3 linked regions of the Mytilus edulis genome follow. The main gene of each other region encodes a partner of the protein of the gene in region 2 in a complex. Links are inferred from orthologs where the notes say so. Each region holds a gene or a part of one and is shown on either strand. Other genes may lie near its edges.

What was found.
Region 1: glycosylphosphatidylinositol anchor attachment 1 protein-like (region 2) and GPI transamidase component PIG-S-like share a complex: the UniProt entries of both Homo sapiens proteins name them as parts of the GPI-anchor transamidase complex. The link is inferred for Mytilus edulis from reciprocal best matches to the Homo sapiens genes GPAA1 and PIGS.
Region 3: the proteins of glycosylphosphatidylinositol anchor attachment 1 protein-like (region 2) and GPI transamidase component PIG-T-like are in contact, whole or in part, in a cryo-EM structure (PDB 7W72), measured with the Homo sapiens proteins. The link is inferred for Mytilus edulis from reciprocal best matches to the Homo sapiens genes GPAA1 and PIGT. Residues at the interface, in NP_003792.1 of Homo sapiens: Arg97, Ser98, Val99, Gly100, Glu102, Tyr104, Arg134, Ala135, Pro136, Arg137, Ala138, Ala139, Ser140, Thr141, Glu142, Arg171, Gly172, Gln173, Ile174, Tyr199, His200, Asp201, Val202, Leu212, Gln213, Gly214, Arg215, Ala218, Arg311, Tyr312; in NP_057021.2 of Homo sapiens: Gln91, Gly92, Phe93, Arg95, Arg97, Tyr98, Ser108, Phe211, His212, Thr213, Ser214, Asp247, Phe249, Ile250, Arg340, Gln355, Tyr357, Val358, Ser359, Gly360, Tyr361, Gly362, Leu363, Leu371, Tyr373, Lys441, Asp459, Pro460, Asn461, His462.

Annotation. Positions count from the first base shown.
Region 1 is NC_092347.1:87,617,980-87,624,832, forward strand, and holds the start of GPI transamidase component PIG-S-like, read right to left. Parts: upstream 3,015-6,853; 5' UTR 2,948-3,014; coding exon 2,911-2,947; intron 1-2,910. Other genes in the region: stabilizer of axonemal microtubules 2-like, read left to right, coding at 4,742-4,791, 6,347-6,416. UniProt on the Homo sapiens protein: Component of the glycosylphosphatidylinositol-anchor (GPI-anchor) transamidase (GPI-T) complex that catalyzes the formation of the linkage between a proprotein and a GPI-anchor and participates in GPI anchored protein biosynthesis.
Region 2 is NC_092348.1:85,384,330-85,391,723, forward strand, and holds the start of glycosylphosphatidylinositol anchor attachment 1 protein-like, read left to right. Parts: upstream 1-4,382; 5' UTR 4,383-4,460; intron 4,461-6,921; 5' UTR 6,922-6,925; coding exon 6,926-7,097; intron 7,098-7,394. Other genes in the region: cytochrome c1, heme protein, mitochondrial-like, read right to left, coding at 237-388, 935-976, 4,131-4,202. UniProt on the Homo sapiens protein: Component of the glycosylphosphatidylinositol-anchor (GPI-anchor) transamidase (GPI-T) complex that catalyzes the formation of the linkage between a proprotein and a GPI-anchor and participates in GPI anchored protein biosynthesis. Binds GPI-anchor.
Region 3 is NC_092348.1:51,714,885-51,722,025, reverse strand, and holds the start of GPI transamidase component PIG-T-like, read left to right. Parts: upstream 1-4,127; 5' UTR 4,128-4,159; coding exon 4,160-4,337; intron 4,338-7,141. UniProt on the Homo sapiens protein: Component of the glycosylphosphatidylinositol-anchor (GPI-anchor) transamidase (GPI-T) complex that catalyzes the formation of the linkage between a proprotein and a GPI-anchor and participates in GPI anchored protein biosynthesis.

The DNA.
Region 1 (6,853 bases), on a different chromosome or scaffold from region 2:
TATAAGGAAAACTTGTGGATTTATTTTGTTTAACTCAAAACATTTAAACAAATATCAAATTTTGTGTTCTTAAAATCATTTTTTCAAATAAGCCATTTAAGGGGAGATAATTCTTTTAGTAAAAAATACATACTGAACAGATAAGGAAATTTTTCAAGATGATTTACAAGGCTATGGTGTAAACTTCTGTAAAGATTACATGTTATGTATTTCAGAGATCAAAATTAAATAACACAAAACTGTAACTACAAAGGGGGATTGAGTTTGAGTAGATTGTTTTCTGGGAAAAATTTGGTTGATTATATTTGGAATCTCTGAAGCAAGACCAGAGTAGGCCCGTCTCAGGCAGTCACTTATAAAAATTTCTGGATCTGCCACTGAACTACATGCATTCCTAAATACTGAAATAGCAAGAAGGTCTATTATCTAATTACTCTTAGTCTTAGTCTGACTCTAACTCATGAGTTGTGTGCGAGAGAGAAATTTGGAAATTTTTATTCTAATAAAAATGATTAATTACTGAGAAAGGATTTTACTTTCTTGCAAGATTTATTCTACTTCACTGTTTCAAAATTGTTTACCAAAGTTCTGTTATACGTTTTATGATTGAAACATCAGTTGAAATCTTCTCACTTTCATTTACCTGTTAAATTACATACCTGCAATTTTCACTTCAAGATTGGTTGTCACTCAGTAAACACTTAGTTCAGGGATTTCAATCGATTTAAGAGGAAAAATATTGATAACAAGACTTATCAGCACCCAAGTCCGAAGACATTTCGGCACACCAAGACAATCCGGCACCTCGTTTTTAAAAATAAATTTCTTTTGAAAATTTAAAGAATAGTTGCATAGATATTATAATTTGTATATAAAATATGCATTTCAAAAAGAATAATCATCATTTAATTAAACTCTTTAGTCTTAATGATTATGTATGTATCATGAATAAACATCATTTAATTAAGGGACTTTTTGAAATCAAACATATAAAATTTCTTGATCCCCCCCATAATACATAATATTTCACTATTTTCATTTGATCCCCAAGTAAACACATTTGAGAAATTTGACCCCCCCCCCCCCCCTCTATTTACATACGAATATTTAAACATCAAAAACACTTGTAATTTCACGAAAATATTGAAAATGAAAACATATTTGAGGGAAAATTGTCTTGAAATAGGGCTCTTCCATAAGGCCTTTTCCATAAATATGAGTAGGTAGAGCAAGCCAGTGCTATAATATTTCACTATTTTCATTTGATCCCCAAGTAAACACATTTGAGAAATTTGACCCCCCCCCCCCCCCCTCTATTAATTACATACGAATATTTAAACATCAAAAACACTTGTAATTTCACGAAAATATTGAAAATGAAAACATATTTGAGGGAAAATTGTCTTGAAATAGGGCTCTTCCATAAGGCCTTTTCCATAAATATGAGTAGGTAGAGCAAGCCAGTGCTGTAGTTTTTTTCTGACTTTCTCTTTTCTAATTTCCTATAATATTGTGCTATAAAAGAAAACTTGATCCTAAGTAACTCAAAAAATAACTTTTTGAAACAGTAACAACACATTATTTGTTAACCCTTTCCTCTGTGGAATTTATTTTCTTACATACTTGATTTGCATAGGATTTTTTTAATAAAAAAAAAATCATCAGGTTTAAAGTATTAATGCATTGTGAAAATGAATATTTCATCAATGAAATTCAAATCAGATATTCTTATGAATATCCTTTTCATATTGGATGCTAATTTTTTTAAGTCTGATGCAGACATTTTGTAGTCAAAAGCGTTTCAACTGAGGTACTACACAGGCGTTAAAAGGCGTCATTATGGAGCAAAGGGGGTGGCGTCAAAAAGCGTCATTATGGAGGAATATCTAGTATATGAAGGGGGTCTCATTGGGGGTTCTGATCCCGGATCCCGCTTACTGTTTTGTCAGATTCCCGTATCCCGTTTACACTATTGTAAGCAACTATCATTTTTTTGTAATTTCCCGTGTCCCGCTAGACTTCATTTCCTGTTTTCACGGCACAATATTTTGACTTTCACGTGTCACGCTTACAAAAAATCGGCAATCCCGCATCATGAATGACTAAATAACACTGTTATTATCCGAATAACACTTATAATGACCGAATAACACTTGAAATTATAATAGCACATATTTGTGACTTTTAAACATTGATTATTAAATAATAATATATCATCGATATATTTTATAACTTAAAAATGATTTAAAGAAAGCAAAAAGAGTTCATAAAGATCATTTTAAATTTAGTGTGTACATCGTACATGGCGGCCATTGTGATTTCTGTGGCCGCCATCGTTCGATGTACACACTAAATTTAAAAAGTTTTTAATGAACTTATCTGCTTTCTGCAAATCATTTGTAAGTTATAAAATACATCGATAATGTATTATTATTTAATAATCAATGTTTAAAAGTTACAAATATGTGCTAATATTAAAATTTCAAGTGTTATTCGGTCATTACATGTGTTATTCGGATAATGAGTGTTATGCAGTCAGTTGAGGTAAAGCTGAAATTGTGTTGTGTGATACCATATCATTAGCCTATAGTATAAAATGTTTTATGATGCATGTATTTTCATGATTTCGAAAGTAATTTGGGATATTGATGCTTTCCTTGTACTGGGAGATATACAAACACCCTGAATGAATGGTCAAATTATTTGGCACAGTACTGTTGTTCTTGATTTAGTAGTGAACAGAGGTGGCTTACTATACTTAGCCTTAGGCCATCGGTCAACACTTTATAGTGATCAGTTTTTGGAATGACTGTTACAAATTAACTTATGAAGACTTGTGCATACAATGACAAGCATCTACATATTCAGATATGGACACAATAATTATGTTTTAATAATTTCCTCATTTACGTGTGACTGGTTTTTGTTTTTCCTCCGACTTTTTCATTTTTATGTTGCCGGATAATGCCGTGTCTGGTTCCTTATCGATTGGAAACCAGAAACCAGTGGAAAGCGATCTATCTGAATACCGTAAGAAGATCACCGATAACCGATAACCGATAACCGATAACGTCCTTTTAGTGAGTGAATTCTGACAGACTGCGCGAATTTAAATGAAAATGATTTAATTTTAATATTGAATCAATAGATAATTTAAAAGTCACCGTTTTAAAGAAAAAAAATCCCCATATTCTGATAATTTGACACGATGAGTTCAATCTAAGTAACAGGGCACAGCTGAGACTACACTCCCGACTTGTTTCAGAATTTTCCTGCCCACATATATACCGTGTTATATAAAGGTATATATATATTATTTTATTGTTGTTGATACAAGTGCCTGTGTCACATGGACTCGGTTAGCAGATTAAAATTTTTATTATCATTGTTTTTAAAATCTTTTTTTGTCATTTTCCTATCTATTTGTACCAAATTATTATCAAGTTTATCGTTTTTAACCGTGATTGGCATAACTATTTCTTTATTTACTAGCAATGTGCAGTTTCTATCCATATCTGAATTATTATACTGAAAAATATTGACATTACACTGTTTAGAAATGTCGGACGGACCTAGTACTTTTATGGGGTTTTTTCAACAAACATTAATTCGTAAAATTCATTGTATAAACCTCATGATTTCTTTTAGAAATTCAGTTTAAAGTTCAGTGGCAAAATATCCATGCATATTAAAGACAAAAACAAATCAACACTGAAACGATACAAAGTATAGTTCGACATGGGAGAAAGTGCGGGGAAAGTTATACGGGTACTGTAATGGGCAAGATTTAAACTTTTGCCGAAACGAAATAGCACTACATCGATGTTTTTTACCGTGCACACCAGTAAAGTCAGTAAATACTAAGACAAATTTCTCCGCTACAAACAATACACTATATCCAAAACTCAAACATGTTTGTTTCAAATCAAATAAACCATACATTCATTAGTAGTGATCGACCGATATCTTTTATAGACTTCCTTGATATTATAACTGCTTAGGACAACCTTTATGCAAAATTATTGATAAACGAAACCAATTTGAAACTACAAATTCCAATTTAGAGTGCATGTTAAGAATGCATAAAACAACTGATTTTATCTATAAACTGCATTTTTCATTTGAATAAAAGGGATGTTGGGTACGCGTCTATGTGAAAGTAACAACGAAACGAAAAAATCTAACAAAAAGACAAGCTTCGGAAATCCATATATAAACGGTTCAGTAATTACTTTCTAGTGTTCTTTTGACAGTTCGCCCTTCGATGGTCAACAGAGTTTTCAGGTTCTAAAAGACTGCATGTGTCTTTCCCAGAAAGCACATGTAGTATATATAACATTATAGTGCTGGATGCAGTTATACGCGTGTATTGATAACTCATATATAAGTAAAACGTATATATTTTTTTTTAAAACAGTTGCCGTTTCAGTTATAATTTTTACAACAATCGTTCCCATTTTTTTTTGGGAGAAATATAAAATATTTTTAAACAAAACCAAAGAAAACTTGATAATCAGTACGTTTAATGCAACTAATACAGATTTAGAAATAAATAAAGAATAACCAAACTATTCTACGCTATGGGTGACGTCACCATTGATCTCCTTGACCGTTGCTATACACTTGGTCATCACAAAGACGTTAACGTCACATTGTTGAGCCGGTAACGAAGGGAGTTGAAGTGGATGCGGGTGAGGGAGGAGAAAAAAATCAACGTCCGTTTTTCGCGTACCGCTAAGGAATGTCCAGCTCTAAAATTATCGTCGTGGTTGATCCAGTGAAGAATCCAAGGTAAAAAAAATATAAAAAACTTAGTCGATTAATTTCCAGAGAGATTATGAGAGTGAGGGGGAAAGAGAGACAACAGTATGTGCTTCAGTGCAGATATCATTTGTAAATTGGTACATACAGTATTTGTTGAAATACTAATCTATTAAATGAATTTTAACTGGTCGTTAATTCAAATCTATCCAAGCATCCCAAGTTGAGGATATCGCCTATAGCCCCTTTTGTCTGGAATACAATCTGGAACGCTTTTGCTGCAGTGAAAAGCTACTTATGGCAAATTGTGAAATAAATTGTATCAATATCATTAAAAGCATAAATGAGTTTGCTTAGTATTTTGTAATTATGTCATTTACGTTGACAAATACAGTAATCAACAAAAAGGGGTCATATATCATTTTACATGTACTAATAAAAAAGAGGTAAATGTGACAAATATTGTGGCCTTCTTTTATTTTAGGGGTCCCAACTCTTATAGAGCTATACTTAACTATCCTAAACCCCAATCTTACCCTTACCCATACCTAACCATAACACTAGCCCTAACACTAAATACTAACCCTAACCTAAAACAGCCCCTAACCTAACCATTACCATGAATGAACCCTACCTCTAAAGTATAGGGACCCTTAAAGTAAAAGAAAGCCAATATTGTTAATGGAGCAGTAATGAGATGATAAAAGCTATCAATTATATTATTGACAAAAACTATGTAAGTTTCGGCAGTATGCTTATCTAAAGGGTAGAAGGTTTTCATATGGGCACTAATTGCGCCCTCTTAAATGGCGACTTGTTCCTGTATTGTAATGATCCACAGTTTATGGCCACACTTACACAGTGTAGAAAATATTCGTCTGAAACCAATTAATTGGAAATTAAATATAATTACCGTTACCTTGATGATGTTTTTGCTTAAAATAATGAAGAACTGTTTAGTCATACGGCAAAAGAAGTTTACCCTTTAGAACTGATTTTACTCTAATCTACTATATATATATAAAGCAATAACTGACATTCATATTCTAAATTTCAGTTTCACATAAGAAAGTCTAAACAGTCAAAGAATTAAGACAAAAAAATAAGATCCCCCTCAAGTTGTTTCCTTCAGCACTGCCGTGTTTATTTGGGCCTCCTTACGATGTTATCTGATTCTCTTGACAATCATACGTCTCTTCCCTTTTTACACCAATGGAGTATATACGGACACGAAGTTCCCGTTTCAACTGATTTCGTCAGTTCATTTTTTGTTGTACTGTAACACCAGGTAAGGGCAAGGATATTGTGCCAGCGAACCCTAAAAAATGGTGCACTGTTTAAACTTTATACTAGGATGCAACTGGAGATCAAACAATCAATCAATCAATAGTTCTAATGAGTGGTACGCTATGACTGGGATTTGCACCAATAAATATAACTTTACAAATTAAAACCTAGGTAAGAGACAGATTCAGATTCGGTGTTTTAAAAAAACAACATGCATTGTGCCATGATACGATAACAAAAGCATGCACGTTCATTATTTCATGAATTAAACTGACTTTAAATAAATGTCTTTTTTTAGGGGCATTCCTCATTTTGAAGCAAAGAACTATAAGTCGAAGAAAATTGACAGTGTATCCGAATACCAGGCGGTAGGTTTGATTTACTTTATGGTCATATACTAATATACACAGGTTTGTATAGCAATCAGGTGACAATGCACCTCAACGCAACACGGAGTACATTTCTGAAAGCAAATGAAGAAATATAACGAAAACAAAAGCCAACATTGATAAATAAACGTCTTTACATGTAATAAAAGTCAAGTTAATGATACAGACGATATCTTCCACTGTTTTTTTCCTTGAAATTTTAAAACAAAGTCAATATTGATAAAATTATATACTCGCAAAATATGCTAAGTAAATTGTATCTTCATGACTGAATTGAGAGAGATGTCAGTTTATCTTTCAATACATTTCCGAAAAAAATAACTTTTAAACAGAAACAGACGTATACCATTTGAATTTGTGTATTTCATATTTTTTATATAGACCTTTAACGGCTTACTAGTAATACAAAAAATGTT
Region 2 (7,394 bases):
GAATTATTCAACTCTCTATATATTGTGAAATATGAAGTCATATAAAAAACATAAGCAGTTGGAAAAGGATAAGTTTCCATCTCAGGCAAAACAAAAACATCCATATTTTTTAAACAATCATCATTTAACATCAATAACTCTTATGTGTTGTTCAAGAAGCCAACTCAGGCAACTGTTTGAGTATTTTGTAAAAAAGTCTCACAAATATATAAGAAAAAAACATTTTTTAGCCATACCTTTTCATGTCAATAGAACTGAACATTCCATGATGACTCCATTTATAATGGGGGGGATGTAACTCTAATTCACTGGCTAATACAGGGAAGGCCAAGGCTGCTCCCACTGCTCCTATACTACCAACAGTAGCTGCTCCAAGTAATCCATAAGCCTGTGAAAAAAGACATCAATACAATAATATCCCGTACTGTACAGTACAGGTTCAGAAACAATCAGTTTTCAAAATAAAAAATTTAAAGTTGTTTGTCACAATATTGCTCATTTATCATGCGTGTCTCTATATATTTCATTCCTACCTTTGTTTATTGAACTTTTAAAATTTGTGTCAAAAAGTATTAACATTGCCAGTTGTTATTGTTGAAATATAGTGTTGACATTAAGTGTGAGTTTATAGAACCAATTTTACCACTCAAATAAATAATTTCAAGAATGTGTCCATACTACACGGATGCCCCACTCACACTATGATTTTCTATGTTCAGTGAACTGTGAAATTGGGGTCAAAAATCTAATTTGGCATTTAAATTAGAAAGATCATAGCAGAGGGAACATGTGTACTAAGTTTCATGTTGATTGGACTTCAACTTCATCAAAAACTACCTTGACCAAAAACTTAAACCTGAAGTGGGACAGACAGACTAATAAATTGTAGATGGGGCATAAAAATGTAATATGGAATACAGTTAATATAACTTACAGCTTTCTTCCCTCTTGATGCTGATTTGAAACTGAAGCTTGCCTGAGAAAAAAGGAACATTTTATTATAATAGTTATTGTATACATATAGGTACATAAGGTATAAGGTACTAAATGAATATTGACAATAATTAATACAAAATTGAATTTGTATATATATCTTTACACAAGTATACAACATTTGCAATAAAAGAACCTTAATAAGCGCACTCACATACCCCACGTCCCCACATTGTCATTGAAGAAATTAAATAAGTGTAAGAAAAGAAAGTTGAATAAGAAAAAAAATTTAATCATAATTTCCTGTCAATATGCACATCTACTTAGTCTATGTCTTTATTATCTACAAAGCACATCTACATAGTATGTCCTTATTATCTACAAAGTTTCATGAAATTCTGTTGTGTGGTTTCAGGAGTTGCGATGACAAACTGTTGCAGTAGTACATTAAAGCAAATAAGTTCAAAGGCGCGTAACTCCTAGAAAAAAATTATTCAATCGTAATTTCCTGTCGATATGCACATCTACATATTATGTCCTTATTATCTAAAAAAGGTTTCGTGAAATTCTGTTGTGTGGTTTAAGGTGGCTCGGGGCCTATTAAAAGTATCGTATTTTTTGTTATTTTATTCTTTACAGAAATTGAATCAAATTGGTAGAAAAAAAATAGGGGGTCACGGACCATTTAAGCTCAAAATTTAACTTTTAAACAGGTATGTAAAAGGGACCATTTTTCAATGAAATGATAGGGAAAATAGAGGTGTTGACATATTTTTATCGGATTATTAAAAAAACGTTCTATGACACATGGTCCAAAACTGTAATATAAAAAGCTAAAATATAGCTTAAAAGAATGAGCAAATAAAAAAGATAGGTCACCGATAAGGAAAAAAATATATTTTGCCTTAAAACCCAAATTTTGGCGGGAAAATGGTGAAAATGGGTGAAATGTCATTTTGACCCTTTAACAAATACGGATTATAACGAAAATATTCTATTATTCACATGACTACAATGATTTAACATTTCTAATCAATCAAAATATTTAAAAAAATTATATCAAATTAACGACAAATACATTTGTAATTCATGCGTGAAATTATGCGCAGTCGAATAGTCCCGAGCCACCTTAAGAGGAGTTGCAATGACAAAAAACAAGACTAATGGACGGATCACAAACATTATACCCTCCAGAACTTTGTTGTGTGGGATATAATTAATCTCGCTTACGCGCATGGAATATTTGCCACCAGATATTAAGCAAATAACAATCAAAGCAAAATGTCCCGAATAAATGTAAGAAAATCAACAAAACGACATTTCCTACAGGTACAAAAAATCTTTGAGATAGTCCCCTTCAGGTAATGATTATATTGTAACATATTGATTGATATGGATTAAAGAGGGACACTAGAAATCAACACAACAAAGGTGATTTGAAAAGTGTAAATGAGTGGACTGTTTTAATTAAACTCTTGTGTTTGTTTATTTTACCATCTTCTTGGCAATGAAAATTTCATTGTGTATGTGAACACAGCCAATAGGCCAGTTCGGGGATACGGTTTTCAGACAAATCTGTCATGTGACTTTCATCACCACCGGACAAAAATGTATGCATCTTCATTTCCAACATATGTTCAGCAAACAGGTGAAAAAGTTTGATTTTATACTGCACAAAATATTTGGGAAATTAAAATCTAATAAGATGGTCACGCTCCCTCGGTCGTACAGGAATCAAGATTACGTTCTCACAAAACAGAGATTATTTCCTTACTACCACACAGATTGAAGATTTTGAAAGTGCTGGAAACTTTTAATAGAGCAGGAATACAGACGCCCCTTCAATCTGTTAATAAAGGCCTGCGAAAATTGAAGATCTTTTTAGGTGAAAGACATGATTCCAGAAATGATGTTTGTAATCCAAGTGTATACACCTTATCACTATTTCAAGTATTTGTCTGCCATTACTGGACTCCCTGGCAAAAGAAGCTGCTAAAGAAGCAGAAACACTAGCAGTTGATGACATAGTATTTACAAAACAAGATGTAAAAAAAGCAGCTAGAAATTCAGTTACAAAAAAATGGCAACACAGATGGGAAAACAGTAATGCTGGACGTCATTATTTCAGATTTCATCCTTAAGTTAAAAATAAAGTAAAAAAAGATTTCCCGTCAAAAAGAATGTACAACATAATCAACAGTTTAAGAACAGGTTATTCTAAATTAAATGCATACCAATTTATAATAAACCAGCACATCAACTCGGAAACCTGTGATCACTGCAAACAAAAAGAAAATGTACAACACTACCTTTTTGAATGTGACCTGTATTCAGATGCCAGAGACAAACTATTCCATCAAATATACTTCATAACAGGACAAATTCCAACAGATTTAGACAATTTATTAACAATCAATTTGCCAAATGCAGAAAGTATCAATCAACTATTAGCGGAGTACATAGAGGAAACAAACCGTTTTAGTGGATAATTTAATACAAATTTCTTTTAATTTTTAATATTTTTTAATATTTCATGCCATTTCAATAACCTAATTAACCATTTTTTTCTTTTTTTTCACTTTTATATAATTCTATAATATTTTTAAAGCGCCACCTACAATATCTAAGTACAAAGGAGAAACTACATTAGTGTTAAGAATTTTACAAGAGAGGATAATTCACAAGAGAGATTATATTACTCTGTCATCACGACAAAGATTGAAGAAGAAGGACATCACAAAAGTTCCAATAAAATGTTGACGTCATAATAGAATATAGTTGACGCCACAATGGTAAAGTGATTGATCAGTTGATGTATGACCTCAAAATTACAAGTGGGACAGATTTCAAAATAGCGATAAGGTGTATAATTTGATGAACCCTAAACAGACTGAATGACAATACAGCCTTTTGTGTGAGGTTTGGAGCATTCCCAATAGCCTATTACTTGTTGAAGCTAAAATCTAGTTAGGAAAACTTCTTGTTATATCAAATATATGATTACTGTTCTCTGAGACTTCCAAAAAATTTATTAAGTAACATTTTATGTTACACAACTTGGGTTACACAACTTGTCAATCAGTTCACCTTGAAAAACATTTGCTGTTTTCTCCTTAATTGAAGCTCAAACAAGAAAATAATTGTCACAAGTTACAGATATGAATATAATGGTTACGACTGCAAAGTGATTTCAATACCTGTTGTGTATTTGTCAATGATTTTGTCTTTAAAAGAGCTTGTCGCGAGAGCCTGCCAGCAACCGCTGCCATCTTTTCTATACCTTAGTCTAAAGACCCTCGAAACGGAAGTTGACATTTTTGAATATATTAAAATACTTTTGGTTGAAGTAGAATATTTTTATTTTCTATTTAAATTTCAAAAATACAAGTAATTTTTTTTTTTTTTAATATCTTTTTAATGGTCTGCAAAACTTGTGGTAAATGAATCTAAATCGAAATCTGGATCATTTGATTGTTTTTACCTGAAAAAAAGAGAACCCGGCTAAAACTAACACACAAAATCAATAGGTACTCAGTGAAACTGTTAATTTCTTTCAAAGGGCAGCTCTTACACTGTTATTTTATCGTCATTCTTACAATAGAACAGGATACACATTTTAAAATAAAAACCTGAACCCTGGCGTAGTTAGTGTCCCAGGGGTTCGAGTCAAATCGGCACAGGATCTGGTTATTTCGGCACCTATATCAAAAAGACTAATCGACACTTGGTCAAATCACCACCGATTCAAAGTAATTTTGGCATTTGTTTGATAATTTCACCACCAATTTATATTTTTCACCTTTTCTGATTTTCAACTAGTACACATTTTTGTTTAGGGTCCAGCTGAAGTCACCTGTGTATGGTCAGATCATAAGTTTTCGTACTTCATACAAATTCGTACTGTGCATGCACAGACACTTGTTTCTATCCATGGGAAGACCCACTATCAACGTATATATTTACGATAAGTTGATAGTGGGTCTTCCCATGGATAGAAACAAGTGCTTGTGTAACGACTAACGGGAGTGAAAGTGATGTTTAGTTGGCATATAAAACTATGAATGTAAGACAGAAAGTCACAGGACAAAAAGTCACAGACAAAAAGTCACGGACAAAAAGTCACAGGACAAAAAGTCACAATTCAGTTTTGAGATTATTTTTCTTTGAACAAGGCTACACTAATTTTTTAAAATATTTTTTTGTTTTTTTCTTGAACTATTTTATATATGAAGCAACTTTGTAATTCAAAATGTGTTCAATAAATAATTTATCATGATCATAATTGTTATGAAAACAAAATGTCACAGTGGCTAACTACCTAAATGGCTTCATTCTGCCAAGAAATATGTCCTTTGTATGATTAATTTTAATAAATTTTCATTTATCAAGGTTTATGAACAATTGCCTAAACTTAGAAATAAATATATGTTACAAAAAGAAAATATTTCAAGATCTTTCTCTCGTATATTCAATCAATTGTCAAGAAGTTATTTGTGACTTTTTGTCCTATCAAATTTGTGACTTTATGTCTTGTGACTTTTTGTCCTGTGACTTTCTGTCCGTTCTGAGATATTACATGTATTAGTCATTCAATAATTTATTCTTTAGAAGGTCTGATGATTTAAGGTTCATCATAACAAACGGACAAATATGGCTGTATTTACATGTCAAAAATTACTCTGAGTACAGACTTACCTGTGAAGTTGGAAAAGTTTTAATGCCTGGCATCCACTAGATATAATAAAGTTACATGCATTTTGTGTTTCAGAAAGATAAAATCTCTTTTGGATTTTGATGGGCATTTTTTTTCCTTCATGCAAAAGGTGTGAAAATTAACTAAGTTGTGGTACAATGTACAACTATGAGATGCTCCCTCAGGTAAAAAACCGGTTTGTATTGTTTTGATTGTCCTTAATTGACATGGACAAGATTTATCTTCACAAGTGTAGGTGAGTTATTACTCAATTTATTTCACTTGACTGGGCGGAGTTTAACCGTTTCGCTCATAATAAATCATTTCATCTATAGATAGGTGTTTCAGGATAAACTCATCAATGAAGTGTCCAGTTATTCTTTTGTTAATTCCTTTGATGGCACTGATAGGTGATTAGAAATCAGTAATAATTATAACGGCAATCATCCTAATCACACACATCTTCAAATAGACTGTCCTTATGCAAATTAAAACGTAAGCTCCGCCCGATCAGTTGAAATGACATTGGTAATAAAGAGTTTATTTGAGTCAGTGAGTGGACAGCATCAAAGTAATTCAGGTGTTTGTTTATTTTTACACCGCACATCAAAAACTATGAAAGATTTTATCTTTCTTAAACAATGTTAAACACAAAATGCATTTAACTTTTATATATCTAGTGGATGATAGGCATTAGAACTTTCCAAACAGCACAAGTAAGTCTGTACACAGAGTAGTTTTTGGGGTGAAAATACGGCCATATTTGTCCATTTGTTATGATGAACCTTAAACTATAATTGATTACATCAATATTGTCCATACACTTTAAATACAATTCAGTGGTAGACGTTCTTACCATAAATATTATTGTTTCCCAAGGGTTTTCTAGCAGCCGTCAGTATGACGAATTAAATCTGGGCTATCTCGGGACTACGCACAGCTGTTAGAGTACCCACTGAAAGACCCGACCGGGCTCAGGACCAAAGAAAGTGTCACGACCAGAAGTACAATATAATAGTTAGAACTTCAACCACTACACTTGTGTGTGCATGCTTTTTCAATGGAAAACTCATGAGACAAGGATCTATGTGCTGTCTCTTTGCTTGTTGGTGCCAGTATTGTTTTTATACCACCATCTTGTTGAAGCTTTCTGAGATGATAGTGGGCCTTAATTTCCCCAGGGGCTTTTAACATCATGATAATGTGGTGTTACATTGCTAGAATGTAATGCTACCTGAAATTAGCTTCTCAAAGATGAACAATGCAAGAGTTTTCTCAAAAAATGTTTTTTGCAGGAACATGGGACTCCTGTCAGATCCAAAGAAAAGGCAGAAAATACTAGATGTGATTTCTAAGTATAATAACCATTTATCTGTTCTGTGTTACATTGCTGGGGTCACATGGTTTCTGGCGTTAGCATACCAACCACTCAACGCTCGTACATACTTTTCTGAAAATGCTTTATTGCCAGGTATGTATCTTTACAACTGAAACTGCAAATTCAGAATTGACTACATGCATTTATTATTGTGATTTTTGTATCTTCATCTGGGACAACATCCCTAATGCACCTCGAAATGAGGAACTCAAAAGTCATGTGTAAACAAAAAATCTCTGTGAAGTGATATTGGACATGTTGGACATGTTTCTATTTTTTTTTACAAATGACTGAGCTTAACCATTTGTCAAAATGTTTGTGGTGAGAAGGAAAGTAGAGGAACATAGAATAAATGTGTAAAAACTATGGAGCTATTAAATGTGTTCAAAG
Region 3 (7,141 bases), about 34 Mb from region 2:
TACAACAAACATATAAACCATACAAGCATTGAAATGTAATAAAATACATATTTAAATATACATATGAAAATTCATCTTGCATACATTTTTTCAATTAACCATCTCATTTTTCTCTCATATACTCATGTCACTCCATTCATTTATTCCACTGCATACACATTTCACCAAATATTCAACATCTATATTCACACTCACTCTAATTCATGAACTCAATAAAGTTAGTGTAATATCAAATGAATGGTCTGGTAACGTAACGTCAAGTGGTTGTGGGGATGCTGGTGCTGGTGGTGCTTCTATTATTTACTGCTGGAACCTGAACGAAAAACATATGTATAAAAGTAGTGAAACAACTAAAAGACGTCAAATATATATATAATTCAAAATAAATAAATTCACATTAATATTTGTAACATTGTTTGATAATTGGCAATCACGTAAACTAATTAAAGGATTAACACCTCCGAAATTTGTATACTTTGCATTAAACAGAGGGCACGCGCCCCAACAATGATTGGATTAATATGATTTATGATGTTTTTTTTTCAATAGGTAATCAAATTCAAATTCAAATTCTTTATTAACTTTGAGCCTTATGGCTCCTCAGAATAATCAAGTACATGTACAGTGTTTACATTTGGCATATTACAAACAATATGCATAATAAACAATAGGTGACATCATTCCGTCTCTGATGGAGAGTTGTCTCATCATCGGATTCATACCGCAATCATACCACATCTTCTTTTTTTATATAATTTAATTAATATCCTTTTTGGTCCATTTATTGGACAAATTTAAAATTTAATGCAAATATCATTTAATATTGAATTAAGTCTTTTCAGGGAAGGGTTAAAACCAAAATTAAAGTAAAAAAAATATCTAAAATATGACCGAAAGTACGAACTATGATTCAAATGAAACACTACATAACTAATAAATTTGTAAATACCTGTATTGCAAAGCTGTGTTACTTTTATAAATCAAGGCCGGTACATCAAATAGACTCCAAACAGCTTCTATCAGCTACAAGAATTTCACTACCCAATGTATGTTTGTACTCCGCTTGAACTCAGCTTGGGTGCTGTGTTTTAATAGTGATCTCGATTTGTATTTCCTTCTGAATTTCTTGACAAAAGCATAATTAATACTTGTGTTCATCAAAGAAGTAATACTAAGCAATTGGCAATCTTCTTAAATTTAAAACTTAATCATTACTTGATTACCTTGTTTTATATTTCAAAACTAATCAACTAAACGTAAGCATCTTATTATATGCAGACGATATCGTCTTACTAGGTCCAAGTGAGGCTAGTTTACAATGTATGCTTGATTGTGTTAATGCATGGTGCCATAAATGGAGATTAAGTAATAATTGTAGTAAATCAAATGTCATACATTTTAGGCCTAGCTCTGTTGAACGTTCTACTTTCAATTTTTTCTGTGGAAGTCATAGTTTAGTGTATGTAGATTCATACAAATATTTAGGTATTTGGTTCAGTGAACATGTAACATGGATTAAAGCCGTCAAAGAACTCTCTAAATCTGCCAGCCGAGCTTTGAGCTGTTTGACTGTGAAATTTTACGCCTATGGTGGTATGACATATCAAGTGTTCACAAAACTGTATAAAAGTTTGGTACAACCAATATTGTTATATGGTGCATCGATATGGGGACTTACTGAACATAGACTTATTAATAACGTTCAAAACAGAGTAAGTAAAATATTCCTTGGAGTGACTAAATTGACTAGCAATACTACAGTACAGGGTGATTTAGGATGGCTGTCATGTCATGCTAAACAAAGACTGGAAGTTTTGAGATTCTTTTATAAACTTGAAAATTCAGATAATTCTCGTACTTTCTATAAGATACATTTATGGTCGAAACGAAAACGTAGATCCTGGAACTTTAATGTGATTAACTTATTTCGCAATATGTCTGTAGAACACTTAATGCAGCCCGGAATTAGCAAAGAACTATTTTTTAAAGTAATTAAAAGTAAATTACGAATACTAGATGAACAGTTGGGGTTTACCAAACTTTGGAATGACAATTCGAATGTGAATGGAAACAAGTTGAGACTATATAGACGTTATAAGAAAGACCTTCAACCTGAACACTATGTTACTAACGCAATGCCACGCCACTTACGAAGTAATCTATGTAAACTTAGATGTGGAACTTTACCTCTGTCCGTCGAGACGGGCCGTTATACGAAACCACCAATACCGTTAGAAGAAAAAAATTGTCCATTTTGTAACAATGCTGTAGAAGATGAGATACACTTTTGGATTATTTGTGACATTTACAGTGACTTAAGGTTTAATTTGTTTCACAGAGCAGCTATGGTCATGGATAATTCTTTTTGTACAAAGTCAGATTTTAATCAATTTGTATTTTTAATTCAGAATGCTGAATTACAATACGAGTTATCTATCTTGGTGCATAATATGATAAGAAGACGTCGTGCATTGAAAAGCAATCTACACTCTTAATTGTATTTCCGTAAAAGTCAAAGTTAATATATTTAATTTATTTATTTTTTTAATTCACTATTGTATATTTCCGTTAAAGTCAAAGTTACATTTAATTTTTTAAATTTTGTTTTTTTGTTTTTGTTCTATTTATTTACTATTTTACTGAGAGTTTTTTTTTATTAAAACAACAAGATAACTTCATTTTATTCTTCGCAATCTGTTTATATAACCTCTTTAAAATATATTCTTTTTATCACATACCATTTATTTTTTTACGTCATACTTATTTTTGTCATTTCTATTTTTAAAAGATATGGTTTTTTTTTGGTTTTTTTTTTAATTACTTATTTTAATTTTTTTGTTTTTTTATGATGTGAAATATCCGGATAATTTTAAACATTTTATTATGTTTTTTCAATTTGTATTTGTTAAATAGATATATATTTGTATATATAGTGTCTCATAAGCCTTTCTAGGCTGGGTATTTGTCTTATTTTATTATTGTGCAATGTATATTATATAATCTGTATAAAAAATCTGTAGACAAGTATGTGACACTTTAATAAAATAAATTATTATTATTATTATTTATTTACTAATCTTATAGTTATAATTTTGACAGAAATTAGTCTCCCATTCAGATACAGTCATTCATATTTGTTCATTTTGTTCTGTTTGTTATACGGAAGATATAAAAAAATCATTTAGAAAACAATATGATATTTTAATATTTTATTAGATTAAACACAATTCTGTATAAGGGAGCTACCATTTGATTTTTATGGGGGGGCTAGGATGAAATTTGAAAAAAATAGGCAGGACAGCAGTTTTGAGTAAAAAAAAAGGCAGGATGAGACACTTTGCCAAAAAAAAAGGCAGGATGACAATGTAGGTAAAAAAAAGTCAGGATAAACTAATAAAAAAAAAGGCAGGACCGAATAGAGTGAAAAATAAAAAGGCAGGACAGAGATTACAACTAAAAAAAAATGCAGGACAAAATTTTTCATCCTAGCCCCCCCCCCCCCCCCCCCCCCATAAAAATCAAATGGTAGCTCCCTAATGCATAAACAAATGATATAACGAAATTTTAAAAACATGATAAATAATGTTAAAACAGTATAGGTTATTAAAAAAAGTTATAATAACCATCTATAAGTACCAAAATAATTCATATATAACATCTAAAAAAAAACCAAAAAAAAAAACCATGGACGATACGATGAATCATACGATACGTTTCATCCTATGGACGTCATGGCAGTATGGCCGTTACGTCCTGCATCGGATATGAAGCATATCAGTATCGTTTGTTTTATATTTGAAACATTTAATGTTGATAAAGTGTGGTTCTTTACCTTTAATAAAATTCTAATTTCAAGGAAATCCATTGAATACTTAAACAGTAATTGAAGTTTGAATAAGTCCGATCAAAGGTTTTTAGGTCTTTTCATTTCTCCGTTCAGGTCCAAGTTTTGGCATGAAAAATCTGTTTTTTATTTAAAAGATTATAAAATGTAGATCTTTTCATTTGATAAAATTTAAACTTGAAGAAAATCCATTCAAAAATAACGAAGTAAGTGTATAATTTTTGAACAAATCATGTGCCATGATGTGGTATATCTTTCAGGTCTATTCGGGTCTTTTCAGGTCCACTTTCAGGTCTTTAGTGTGTCCCATTAAAAATGGCTACCTTTGAAAGATGCTATTTGTGGTTTTCTTTTCTCACTCTTTTAAGTTGTGAGAGCATAACGTTTAGAGAAAATGACACATTTAAAGAAGAGCTCATTGTCAAACCATTTAAAAGTGGCCACGAATTATTTTTTTTCCAGTTTACAACACTCTGGAACTCGAGAAAGCCATGTGAGTATATATCCGTGTTAAATGCGATACCTCAAAAATTATTCTCGATAACTATATAGTATAATAGTCCAGCTCGAATGACCCAATAGCATAGTTATTATCCGAAAAACACTTGTAATGACTGAATAACACTAGAAATTTTAATATTAGCACATATTGGTGACTTTTAAACATTAATTATTAAATAATATTATAAATATAAGCAATGCCAATGATAAGTGTATTTGAATAATACTGGTATAAGGTTCGTTCGCGCCCAATACACTTTCGCACCCTACACGTTCGCACTCAAGGTCCGTTCGCACCAAATTTTAAATAAAATTCCAGTTAAATAATTAGAAAATCAAGATTGTTGTTTTTAATTGATTTGATGTAAATACTGCATATTAAGCTTGGTATGAGTAAAAACATTGAAGATTTTAAATGAAAAACACAAAAGATTTTTATTAAAAACAGCTTATAGGCCCGTTTGATCTGAAACAATGAAACCAAAAATCATAGCAATGCACTTGTAACCGGAGAGTATGAATTTCATTACAAAATTGCTCGTCTCCATCGGTACCTCTGTGTTACAAGCCAGCGCGCTAACCGACTGAGCTAAAGAAGTACTTCCTTAGCTCAACTGCTTACGGCTGACTAAGTATCTACTAAGTTTTTCTAAGGGAAGCAATCCCGTCACACTTCCCCCACCTCAAGAGTCATTATACTCTATAATGATGATATCTTCATCTTTTTTTATATTTATATTTTAACCTGGCTAGGTAATTCTTCTAACCATGGGTTATTATTGTTGGGCGCCAATGTAACCGGAGAGCATGAATTTCATTACAAAATTGCTTGTCTCCACCGGGACTCAGGGTTGGCAAAAACCCGGGTTTAATTAGTATTGCCCAGCCCAGTGGGAAATACTGGGAAAACCCGGGTTTTACTGGGTTTTAGTGGGTAATACTGGGCAATACTGGGTAATATAAAATATGTGTCTGAATTTTAAAGAGGATTCAGTAATAAACACAAATGCAATTCATTTAATAAGATATTTATACCCTATTTTGTTTGTATAGCATTTGTCTAGATCTGCAAACTGTAAATAGAAAGCAAATAAATCTTTTTTTTTTTCAAATGAATATAGCTCCTACTAAGAATTAACAATTACATGTAATAAAGAAACATCACATTTAAATAATGTACAAATGTATATGTACTGTCACTAATTAATAAGTAATTATTCAGATTAGAACACAGATTTGTTTATGTAACAATAATCAGTCCTTTCAATATTTTAAGTGTTAATGGCATGACCCTGTAGGGTGTTTATTTAGCAATATGAATGTATAACAATTAAAATTAACTATTCACTTAAACACTGCAATAAAATGCATTTTTCAAAGTTTGGATTATTGAAACAACTACTTGGTAATTAAAAGGTATCTTTAAATGTGCAAATCTTGTATTCTGCCTACATATAAAATTAACAGAGAAGAGAATGAAATTGAATTTTCTAGAAATGACTGTCAATCGGCCTAGCCAAGATCAGATGTGCATTTCATATTGGGTCTATGTTATAGGCTTGTAAAGACAAGAAGATAAACTTTACATAAGTAATACATCTTTAAACTGAAGAAGAGAATGTAGGGCTTCACAATGAATATCAAATATCATGTATAGGTGTTACCGTTTTGAAAAAAACCCACTAAAATACACGCTGAAAATGGGCAAAATTTCACGTTATGTTGTTTCATTCAAAATTTCGCTGTTTTTATCAATTGATAGTTAATAAGTGAACTTAATTTAAACTACATTATTGGATCATTGCTATAGACAATTTATTCATCTTTCTTTTACTGTTTGTTGCAACAAAAAATCTTCAGTGGTTACAAAGTTATGATAAAAAGTTGAATACTATGCGCTCGTTATGAAATTTTGTACTTTTGTTTTTAGCTTGCTCAGTGTAGTGATAAAAGAGAAAAATAAATCAAATTTATGCTATTATGTGTTTTGTTTTCTCTTCTAGTATATACATTATCAAAAACTACCTCATTTATCAAAATTGCAGTACCCTAGCTGGAGATATATGCCATCAAAGTTGGATATATACAAATAAAGTGAAAAAATGTCTTGTCCGTAGACATGCATTCCCTAGTAAACTTGAAGCATAATTACATTAATGTTGCATTGCTATGTTCCTGTTCTTTTGTAGATATGAAAACACTACTAACATGTTCTCAATTTTTGTAAAATTACTTTACAGGAGTGAATTTTAAAAAGGGTCAGATTATCAGTCATAAAAAGCATATCTTATTTTACTTCAATATTGTTTATTCCAGTTGCTGCATACCTTAAAAGATTAACTAAATCAAATGAAGAAAAAGTATTTCTCTCTCTCTAACTTTATCTTTTGCATTTCAGTATTAACAGCAGATGAGGAAGTGTCTACGGACAAGACACTTGTACATAACAAGTATTAAATTCCATTATTTGTCTGCTATGGAACTTAAATCTTATTTATAGGTTATGAAAGTCATCTATTCAAATTAAAACTCAGTATTTTCAACATAAATATAGTCACAATTAATTCTAACAGATTTTTTTTTTAACTGAAATTGTCTTGTCCGTAGACATTACCACAATATATTTGTATCCAATTTCCTTGAGTTCAGCCTAATTTGATAGGTAAAATGTATGTTATTTTTTCAAGAGAACACATTCAACTATGTCAAAATTGAGTTTTAATGATAGTTTGATTGTTTTAAACAGTCAGATATATGGATTTCAGTTAAAAGAATGTGACTTCATTTTGGCTTAAT